Linked DNA regions of Coturnix japonica. The protein of the gene in region 1 purifies or fractionates together with the protein of each later gene. This does not show direct contact. Links are inferred from orthologs where the notes say so. Each region holds a gene or a part of one and is shown in the gene's direction. Other genes may lie near its edges. The genes, in order: EPS15L1, ITSN1 and ITSN2.

Region 1 (3,650 bases):
CCTATTTCCTCATCTTTGAATGATGTGTTTCCTGCTCTGGACAGGGACACAATGCTTATCCATGTTCATTTAGCTAGCAAAAGGATGAGTCAGGCTTATGGGTTACGGTCACAGCTTTCCACAGAAACTCTTGTCCTGCTTCTGGAAGAGCAGGGACATCTGATGGTGTGCAGAGTGCAGTGGCTTATTTTGCCGATGGGTTTAAGAGGAGAACATTTAAGATGTTTAAGAAAGCTTTGAAAATTTTGCTAGCCTGGAAGAATAATCAGCACTCAAAGAGCTCAGCGCTCACTTTTAATGAATAAGGGTTAATTATGTTGGATGGCTCCTTCAATTAAGATTTGCCCTGTTTATTTTAAACGTATAGGAAGATTCTCTGTGTAATATGAAGTCTTCTCCTCCTCATCAGTCTTCATTTTCTTTGGTCCTATTTCTCTCTCCCTTCTTGATGGTGTGGGCAGAACATCCATAAGTCTGCTTGGGTGACCAGGAGGAAGGTGGAGGTTGGGAGGTGACAGTGAATGAAGGAATCCTTTGTTGGGTGTCTGAGTAATGTCCTGCAGGTGGAGAGTGATTGTCCTGAGCGCACTTTGGGGTGTTTCAACATCTCTGCATCTCAGTCATTAACTTTTTTATTGGCTTGTTTTGTTGTTTGTCTTTTAAGGCCTTTGTCTGCCATAAGGGGTGACTTGTTTGACACAATGGTTGGATTGTATTATTTTTGCTGTTGATAGCAATGCTGGAGAGCAGTGTGGAGTGTAGCTGTTGCAGAGCTAGGACTTGTGTCTGTTGGAGGAGGCAAATGAGGATATGTGTTTGGGGCTTCTCCTCTTTAGGCATTTCAGTTCTTGTTTCCTTGTGACCTCAGCAAGAGGAGCCTGTCTGTTTAGTATGCCAAGAATACAGACCCTTTGTGTTTGAAGCTTTTGTGTAATGCAGTTGGTAACATCAAGCTGAAATCTTCAAACAGCTTTGCCAGGGAATTATGGCATTTCTTAATAAACTCTAGTGTTCTTTTTTTTTTTTTTTTTTTTAAAAAATAAATATTTTTTAAATTAAAAATACTGCACAAGGTAGTATGTGCTTTTTATTTTTCTTGTGGTCACTAAATGTAGGCTATCTTAGATTGCAGTTCATTGTTTTCTTATCATCCCTCTTGTTTTTCAGTTTTCTGCTGGGATTCCATTGTATGAAACTTATTACAAACAGGTAAGTTTTTAACGAGATTGAAGCAGAATTTCCTTCCCCTCTTTCCCATGCTAAACTACTATAAATTTTTCCCACTGAGTGGTAACCATATGAGTTGTTACAGAAGCATGAATAAGACATTTCTTTTCTTGTCTCTACTTTCATGGCATCCTTCAGTTGAATGCAAACTTCTGTCTTTTAGGTAGATCCAACGTATACGGGGAGAGTTGGGGCAAGTGAAGCTGCACTGTTTCTTAAGAAGTCTGGTCTGTCTGATATTATCCTTGGAAAGGTAAGTTGGAGGAATGAGGCAATTTTTGCAGTGATTATCTGTGTATTTGTTTCACTGCAGCTAAGAGCGAGCAGAAGGGGTTAGTGAAAGCGGGTGAGATGGAGCTGAATTGGATCCTTTGACTTGCAGGTTAACCACAGGCTGTTGAGAGTTTCAGGGTCCTGTTCTGGGCTTTGTAAGGATCTGCAAGGAAAACTTGTCCTTAGTGTAACATTTTTGTTGTTGAGAATTAAATAGAACTGTATTTCATAACTTGGCATCTGCAATGAACAATTTGAAAAGACGTATAGTATTAATTGTTGAGCTGAGTTAAATTTTATTTTGAAGTTTCAATGGCTTTTATTTTCTATCTCCACAGATATGGGATTTGGCTGATCCAGAAGGTAAAGGGTACTTGGATAAACAGGTAAATAAAATGTACCTGTGAACCTCTTGCATTACCTTCCACAGTGGAGCCTAGATTCCAGAAAACCCTGATATCCATAGTAGTTACCCATAGTTGTTTTTTTTTCCACCTCTAAATTTTCATTTATAAGATGATTTTTTTTGGTGCTGCTCATATTCAAGATTATTACTCAGTGGGGCTGCTGGAGAAGTTAGTTCTTGTTTTCTGCTCCTTTTGTTTTCTAGATAATCAGTGTGTGTGGGATACATAGACACAGCCATTGAGAATAATAAATACAGACTGTAATTTTAGAGTCTATTTTAGAGATCTTTCTTGCACTGAAAAAGATAACTGGCGTTTTATGAGTGACTTGGAATAACACATGCTTTAGTTACATGTATATATGGAGCGTCGTTGGTTTGTATGAGACAGCCCTTAAAAACTAGCTTTGAAGTTTTTTACTCCTTGTTCCATATCACTGCAAAGTCTTTTCTGAATCCTATCTGAAAGCAGTGAGGCGTTGCTGCAGTGCAGTTACAGCATGGGGCTGTACATATGTTGTTTCCGTACTTTACTTGGGGTCCTGTGTACACTGTTGGTAAAAACCCTGAATGGATGATTGGAGAGGGTGAGTTAAACTGGGTGCTTAGTTTAATAGACAGCACTATTGTTTGTAGGGTTTCTATGTTGCACTGCGCCTCGTCGCATGCGCACAGAACGGCCATGAGGTCAACATGGGCAGCCTGAATTTGACTGTGCCACCTCCTAAATTTGTAAGTAATACATACCTGAACATTTGCATGTATTGCATGAGAAGGAAAGCTTCAGCTGAAATAGTTTTATAAATAATCTGTTTTATAAACGTTGTGGTTTTGAGACTTCAGGTTGCTGTCAAACTTTCACAGTCACATCTGCCACTGTCCTGTATTCCTTTGTAAAGTGTTCCAGCCTCATCCTGGGCTGCAGAGTCAGAGCAGGTTTAACTGCAGTCAGTTTGGTCAGTGCTTTTAAGCTGATGTGGCTAAAACCTACGATTATGGGGGAGGGGGGAGATGATTTTTGAACTGTGTCAGCAACTGTGGATAGTAATGGGCATGACTACAGCTTTGCCCCTTTGTGTGTGTACGCATCTGTATAAATAAAAGTAAAATTTCATTTTAGCATGACACTAGCAGTCCCTTGCTGATCACCCCGCCTTCAACAGAGCCTCACTGGGCTGTTAGGGTAAGTGTAAAAGACAACACATTCCATTCATTCTTTAAATGTTTTCCTTGTCTCAAGAATTCCCAGTGAGAGAATTCTGTATCAACTATATTTCCCGTTTCAAAAGTCCTTCCTTGCTGATGGCAGACTTGTGCAGAGTAAAGAATACTGAACTCTGATCTTACAGTTGAATTAAGTATTAAACAAGCCTGTAGCAATCCCGGGTGTGATGTTTTTCAGACATAGTGAATTTTAATCTTCTGCCTGGATTTCTTCCAGAATCCTAATAGTAGGCACTTTGATGCTTGTATAAGGAACCCCACTGAGAACAGTGAAGCATTTCAACAAATTCATCTTGAAGAATTAATTTAAAGCTTGAATTCACGTAGTATTTAGTGATAATACACAGTATATGTGATTGGAATAAAGTAGCTTCTGATACATGGCATTGGAATATTTATGTTTAGTTTGCAGTTGCAGACGTTTTCCAAAATGACTTCTTATATAATCTTCTACTCATATGTCGTAACATTAAGTGGGAAGCTGATCTTTTGGAACAAATAGTTCTTAGCTGGTTTAAAA
Region 2 (3,650 bases), on another chromosome or scaffold:
TGTCTCTGGAAAGGTTACAAAGACAGGATTGCACTGAGTTATGTTGAAAATATTGGTCTGCAGACTTCTAAGTTGTTGAAAAATAACTTTTGTTAAAAATCAGAAGCTGAAAAAACAGCAAAAAATCCCAAACAAACCAACCCCAAACACATTGTATAGATAGTATTATGCCAGCTTGAGAATGTGTTACCTGGAAAAATCCCAATGCATAAAACATCTTTGCTCCCTGCCTGTTCATAGTTCTTTTGAGCTTCTGTTATGTGATGGGATCTGCTAGGCTGTACTGATTACATTTCTACGGGTGCTATGAATTCCAGCAAGATCTCTTCCAAGCAGACAGCTTCAGCGTAGCAGAGCCTGAGGCAGGGTGGGGGCCTTAGGCTGCAAGGGGTTGGGAAGGAGGGCCAGCTTTACTGTTGCCTGCAGTACAGTAGGGAGTAAGAACAGAAATGGTATTTTGCAACCTTTTTCTCCTTTCCTTCTGAAGGACTGCGTGGGTTCAGAAAATTAAAGCTGCTTCGGAACTTTACATAGAGACTGAAAAGAAGAAGAGGGAAAAGGCCTACTTAGGTATGTCATGGGGTACTGGGGTTCTCATCGTTCATGGGGAAGTCCCTGGGCTGGAAAAGACATTAAGGACTTCTGTCTCTCCTCTTCTGTTTCACCACAGTTCGCTCACAAAGAGCAACAGGCATTGGGAGGTTGATGGTGAATATTGTTGAAGGCATTGAACTAAAACCTTGCAGATCCCATGGTAAGTGCCTTCTGATTTTCATAAGTGTGCTCTATGAAGGAGACATTCCTATGTGACTAACTTAGACATTCTGTCAACATATTTTTGTTTAAAAAAGCTGTTTTAATGAATTTAAAATGCACAAAGGTGATTCTGTGCTGTTCAGTAGCAGTCATGCAGTTGTCTTGCGCTTTATCATTTGGCTCATACAAACAGCTTTACTACATAAACTATTTCAAAAGAGATCATCAGCCACAAAATCCTTAATGAAGAGTGGCAAGTGCTTGGCACCTTGCAGAACTGTGCCCCTGGTTATTAAAATGACAGCAAGGCCACTGTCTTCACCTGGTCTGTTGGCTGCAAGAAGAAGATGGTATTCAGACACGCACTTGAAAACATGATTACATTTTTCTGTTTGTTTCCTACTTCCCAGGAAAGAGTAATCCATACTGTGAGGTGACGATGGGCTCTCAGTGCCACATCACCAAGACAATGCAGGACACCCTCAATCCGAAGTGGAACTCCAACTGCCAGTTCTTTATCAAAGACCTTGAGCAGGACGTGCTCTGCATCACGGTGTTTGAGAGGGACCAGTTCTCCCCAGATGGTAAGCAGGGGGCAGCCACCTTTCCAAGGGTGTTTTCAGGCCTCCCATTTTGAAGAGGTGCACTCCCACTGAGGTAAATACTGAACCCCTGTGCGTGTTTGACACACTCTCACTCCCCAGTGTAGTCATGCTTGTGTTGGAGCTAAAAGAATTGCACTCTCTCTGGGTTTTTGGGCTTCCTTTCTTGTGCAGTTTGACAGTAAGTGAAGTGCAGTTTGTAATTCTGCCAAGTCTTTACATGTAACTCTGGATGCTTTTTGCAAATGGACAAATTAATGGAGGAGGAAAAGAAAAGTTGTCAGGTTCCTGTAACAGGCAGTAGTAGAAATGAACTCAGAATTCCCAACCCACTTTAATTTCATAACTTGCAGTAGACATACGGAGAACTGAGGAATGTCTTTTGGAGTAACTTTCCCTCAGGAAGGATTTGGGCAGGACTGTCATTCATGTGGCCAGCACCATTTGCCCCAATGACCTTGTCGCTGTTGTAATCTATCCCTTGCTCTGTCATCTCCTGAGAGCTACTCGTTCAGTTCAAGCTGGGCAGTGGCCTTTGGCCTTTTTTCTAACATATCATAGAATAAATAAGTTACTTAAGCAAAGCAGCTGTGAAGTACATGGTGCATTTTTTCTGCCTTTGGCATCATTTTTGAATGCTGCCACTGGTCCAGATGAAAATCTCTTCTGTGCAGACAGGCAGCGTTTGTCCTTCAAATGCAAAAATGTGATTGGACTGAGGGCTTGTTTTCTCCTTTTGTCGTGTGTAGATGGAAGCTTAGCTCCTTCTACAATTTAGCGTTTTATTGCAGCAGAAAAGAGTTGTTTCATTTCTAAGCATGCCGTCTTTTTGCATTTCAGACTTTCTGGGCAGAACAGAGATCCGTGTGGCAGACATTAAGAAGGATCAGGGTTCAAAGGGACCAGTTACAAAGTGTCTCCTTCTCCACGAAGTCCCAACAGGAGAGATAGTCGTCCGACTAGACCTGCAATTGTTTGATGAGCCTTAGAAGGAAAGGGACCAATGTTTTTTTTTTTGTTTTGGTCTGAGTTCACTGCAATGTAGGTATCTGCAGAAGCTGTCACAAAACCCTGATCGGTTTGGTATGAAACTACTGCTTGCCCTTCACACACAAGAGGGTTATCAAAGCAAACAGGAGCATCTTTGTGCCTTGATAATTCTCACTGAAAAACGAGTCCCAGTTTAGTGAGGAAGTCTCCCTCAGTTTCTCCATGTGGAACCTGATGATGGTTTCCTGGGTTTATGAAGTAACCTGGTTGTTTGTTGTGCTGCTGGCACACCGCACAGGTCCCCGTGCTTGCTCCAGTTACTCTACTCGTTAATTGACATGAAGAAGGCAGTGTTGGTATGTTTGGTGGCTGTCTGCAGGGTTTTCCCCCATAAGGAATTCTGTGCCTATTGCTCAGCAAAGTGGCGTGTAAATGTTTTGTGAATGGAACAAACAGTTATGCAGTAAGAAGATCTCTGGAGATCTTCATGGCGATACTGAAAATATTTAGAAAAGAAATAGTCTATATCTATAAACAGAGAAGATTCTATTAACATACCACTTCATGACTCACATTGCCCCCAAAATAAATTCCGTGCAGGCCTTGTGCGCAGAGATGAGTTGCACTCCAGAAGAATCCACCCACTCAGTACCTTTGGAAGAAGACTTTGAACAGTGAGTGAAGGACGGAACGATAGAGCCCTGCTGAATGTTGTGCTGTACCACTTCAATACTGTTTTACTACTGCCGCTCAGTTGTGTGAGTGCAGGTGGATGTTCCGTCACCTGCAGTGAGGAAGGAAAAAAAATGATGGCTCTAGCTCAGGAAGCTCATTTCTGCCCCATAGACTAGTTTGCAAAGCAATCGGTGGTGACCAGTTATTAAACTGGACTGTTCCTGACTGCGTTCGACATCATGTTGCTGAATTCAGGGCTGTAGCGCTGTCACTCACAGCAGTGTTTGTTGCAAACTGGGCTGGTCACAAAGTTGGTGGCAAAGATGGTAGACGTGAGCAGAACGGAGTGTTTGTGATCGTGTGATGGAGTGGGTAAACCCAGGGTGATGTCATTTCATCTTGGGGAACGCAAAAGGTTTTATGTGTGTTTAACTCAACACATAGCACACATACAGGCCAATGTCCAGCAAACTTCCCACGTTCGGCAAAGCGTCTGTCTCTAAGTGCACACATAGGTAGTGTTTCCCTTACGTACACAACTAAGTGCTTTGCTAGGACTGGATGTGACAGAGCCCTAAGAGTAAAATTCATCTTTGTTCTGCCTGGAATCATTTTGTTCATTACCTA
Region 3 (3,650 bases), on another chromosome or scaffold:
ATTTTTGGATGAGTTGTGAACAAAGTTAATTGGAGGCTCAGCACGTTTTGTCTTTTAATAAAAACTAAGATTACTGAGAGAGATTTGGGCTTCCTCATTTAAGAGCAGCACAGCTCTTAAAACTGTGTTAGTTTTCACGTGCTGCTCTACCCAGCCTCTGCTTCTTGGCCATGCAGTCAATGAAATGCAACACAAGTCATTGTAATTTGGGCAAGCCAGAATTGCTTCTGGTGTTATCTGTCCCTCAGTGTCACATGATTTGTGTCCTATTTGAGGAGCACACAACCCAAGGCTGTCTCTGCTGGCCTCCACAAGTCACTGAGTTGGTTTGTTACCTGGGGAGGAGCTGCAGGAGGCACAATACAACTGTGTCACCACCAGTGTGTAATCCGCTCAATTCTGGAAGGAGAGAGAATTGCAAATGCTGACCCTGCGAGTGCTGCCTGTGCTGTTTGCTCTACCAACAGATGCTGACATGTGATAGATATCCTGTTGTTCCACACAGCAAATTGTGTTTTCTTTGTGTTTATCCTCCTGTCTGTAGGTTGATGAAAAAAATGTTGGAGAGCCTGGCTGGCTTTATGGGAGCTTCCATGGGCGTATTGGTTGGTTTCCATGCAATTATGTGGAAAGAATGCCAGAAGGAGAAAAAGCTTTATCTCCTAAGAAGGCCTTACTTCCTCCTACAGTATCTTTGTCTACTACCTCAGCTGCTTCAGAGTGAGTTCTGTTGTATTTGTGTTCAGATTGCTTGTTCAAAGTTAAGGTAACATGCTGTATGGTATGGCCTGGGTTGAAAAGGACCACACTGCTCATCTGGTTTCAACCTCCTGCTGTGTGCAGGTCACCAACCAGCAGACCAGGCTGCCCAGAGCCACATCCAGCCTGGCCTTGAATGCCTGCAGGGATGGGGCATCCACAACTGTAGTATTCCTTGTTTTGTATCTGTGTTCTAAAAAGTAGTGATTCTGTGTGAAGTGCTTTTAGAATAAAAAGTGCTGTGTCTTTATTATGTCTGTCTTCGATTTGCAGACCGCTTTCACAAGCAAATTGTGCAGAAGAGTCACATTATGCCGAGAACGTGCATTTCTCCAGCCTGAACGTTAATGCAGCGTGGCAACAGAAGTCAGCTTTTACCCGCACTGTGTCCCCTGGGTCTGTGTCACCCATTCATGGACAGGTACGTTGTGTGTTCTGATGTGACTCCATCCACCAGTGGACTGTGGACCGAGAGGACACGTGCAGTGCATTTCTGAGTCATGATAGTTTTCATCTGTAATTAAACACTTTATATTTGTAACAGATAGGAAACAGTGGAGATTGTTTCTTAGTCACTTCTGTAAAACATTGTCTAGATGACAAAAAAGCATCCAGCAGTTAGGAATGAACTCGCTTAGACTGCAATAAGTGAAGTGTCAGTGAATGTTTAACACTCACACCAGTGAAGGGGACTGCTAACACACCTCTGCTTCTGTCTTACCAGGGGCAGCCCGTTGAGAACTTGAAAGCACAAGCACTTTGCTCTTGGACTGCAAAAAAAGATAACCACTTGAACTTCTCCAAAAACGATATCATTTCTGTCCTGGAGCAGCAGGAAAACTGGTGGTTTGGGGAGGTGCATGGAGGAAGGGGTTGGTTTCCCAAGTCTTACGTCAAGCTCTTACCTGGAAGTGAGAAGAAAGAGGAGTAAGTGTAACTTTGACTGCTATTGTATTTGGTAGTTATCAAAGAGAGGTGTTCCGGAGTGCCAAAGGATTGCAGTGAAGATCCTGGATGCTCTTTGATTTACACCGTACAGTTTTAGGCTTTTATTACTTCATTCTTGGAAGCCAATTAATGTTGGGCTCACGGCTGTGTAAATGAACAGGCTTCCAAGGTGAGTCCTGTGAGAAGTCAGCGATGGCTGATTATTCCTTAGGGTGGTTACTTAAGTCTTATCAATGCTTGAGTGGCTGCGCTGCTGTGTGTGAATTGTTCTCATCGTGTTGTGATGAAAGTTGTTAGAAATAGTTCAGAACGAGAAGATTGGGCAGAAATCTTTATGGGTGTGAATAATACCTTCCAGTCATATAGTCTGACATTGTTTTTGAAGTGTGGTGTGGTGTGGTGTGCTCTTGGCTGCTGCTCAGCTCTTAAAACCAGTGATATGTCACTTGTTGAAAGGGGAGGGAGCTTTTATAATGAAGAAATAGCAACTTGGAGACACTGGAGCGAGCTTAGGCTCATCCTAATAAAGGGATGCGTTGGTCAGCATTTTGATTATTCAAATGTCCTTTTTCATGTCTCCAGACCAGAAGCTGTTTATGCAGCAGTGAAGAAGTCCGGTGCACAGCCCTACCCAGCAGGAGAGGGTAAGAGAGCATAACAGTGCGTGATGGAGCTGAAATATGTGAGACGTGTCTGAACAATTCCTTTAGTGCTTGACCAGAAAATACTGTGCAAGTGCTGAGCTATAGTTAGGAGAATCTGAGAATGAGAACTTAGGTAATATTTGTAACTAATTCAGGTTGAGCGTAGGCGCGTTGGTGGTGTTTGGTTGGGTTTGATTTTCTTTGCTTGGGTTTTTTTGTTTGTTGGTTTTTTTTTTGCTTTGTACAATTGGGTGTAAGTTCTTCAGGCTTCTGCTTATCTGCAGTGTGTTCCAAGTGTGGTAACTCACTGCCAAATTCGTATCTGTAGAACGTTGTGCATCCTTAACTCAGAGGTGTGAGCATGAGACAAGCTGTGATGGCAGGCTGTAAGGTGGGTTGTTTCACAGGCTTGCTAGGACATTCAGGGCAGGTTTAGGTTGGATCTTAGGAGGAAGTTTTATACCCAGAGGGTGGTGATGCACTGGAACAGGTTGCCCAAGGAGGCTGTGGATGCCCCATCCCTGCAGGCATTCAAGGCCAGGCTGGATGTGGCTCTGGGCAGCCTGGGCTTCTGATTGGCAACCCTGCACACAGCAGGGGGTTGAACCCAGGTGGTCACTGTGGAACTTTTCAGCCCAGGCCATTCCACGATTCTATGACATGATCCACACTACAGACACCATGAGGGGTGCAGACATCCAAGATTCTTGTGTCTGATGGACTTTAATCTTCCCATCTGAAGATGTTCTCTCCACCTTTATATGTACTGTTTGTGCAGAGTACGTTGCGCTGTATTCATATTCAAGCTCTGAGCCTGGAGACTTGACTTTCACTGAAGGCGAGGAAATCCTGGTGACCCAGAAAGAAGGGGAATGGTGGACAGGGAGCATCGATGACAGAACTGGGATCTTCCCCTCCAATTATGTCAGACCAAAGGATCAAGAAGTGAGTTCTTACTTTGAGTCTTGCATAACGATGCTTTTTCTCTGTTTTGGTATATTTCTGTTATTGATACCTGTCTGTTAAACGCTGATTTTAAGCAGAGATAAAATTGCTTGACAGGAAAGAGAATCCTAGGGGACTTGACTTCCAGATCAGTGCTGTAACCACGGTGTCCCACTGTTGGTCTCACAGCTGGATCTTGGTGTTCTGTTAAATTAGGGCTCAGAGTTGCAATGTATGTACATGCCACGTGCTTATAAACAGCCTGAATAAACTCTGCTGGTTTTATTAAACATGCAAAGAATATTGTTGTGTCTTTGTTACAGGGTTCTAGTAATGCTGGCAAAGCTGGAACAA

What was found.
Region 2: the proteins of EPS15L1 (region 1) and ITSN1 purify together in Homo sapiens (affinity purification with mass spectrometry; 4 studies listed by BioGRID and IntAct, with this or other methods). This does not show direct contact. The link is inferred for Coturnix japonica from reciprocal best matches to the Homo sapiens genes EPS15L1 and ITSN1.
Region 3: the proteins of EPS15L1 (region 1) and ITSN2 purify together in Homo sapiens (affinity purification with mass spectrometry; 5 studies listed by BioGRID and IntAct, with this or other methods). This does not show direct contact. The link is inferred for Coturnix japonica from reciprocal best matches to the Homo sapiens genes EPS15L1 and ITSN2.

What each region holds. Positions count from the first base shown.
Region 1 is NC_029543.1:3,396,949-3,400,598, forward strand, and holds part of EPS15L1 (epidermal growth factor receptor substrate 15-like 1), read left to right. Parts: intron 1-1,167; coding exon 1,168-1,209; intron 1,210-1,390; coding exon 1,391-1,480; intron 1,481-1,838; coding exon 1,839-1,886; intron 1,887-2,542; coding exon 2,543-2,638; intron 2,639-3,026; coding exon 3,027-3,089; intron 3,090-3,650.
Region 2 is NC_029516.1:94,963,473-94,967,122, forward strand, and holds part of ITSN1 (intersectin-1), read left to right. Parts: intron 1-487; coding exon 488-570; intron 571-670; coding exon 671-754; intron 755-1,166; coding exon 1,167-1,340; intron 1,341-2,198; coding exon 2,199-2,347; 3' UTR 2,348-3,650. UniProt on the Homo sapiens protein: Adapter protein that provides a link between the endocytic membrane traffic and the actin assembly machinery. Acts as a guanine nucleotide exchange factor (GEF) for CDC42, and thereby stimulates actin nucleation mediated by WASL and the ARP2/3 complex.
Region 3 is NC_029518.1:95,164,456-95,168,105, reverse strand, and holds part of ITSN2 (intersectin-2), read left to right. Parts: intron 1-544; coding exon 545-720; intron 721-1,032; coding exon 1,033-1,180; intron 1,181-1,483; coding exon 1,484-1,686; intron 1,687-2,289; coding exon 2,290-2,351; intron 2,352-3,129; coding exon 3,130-3,296; intron 3,297-3,619; coding exon 3,620-3,650.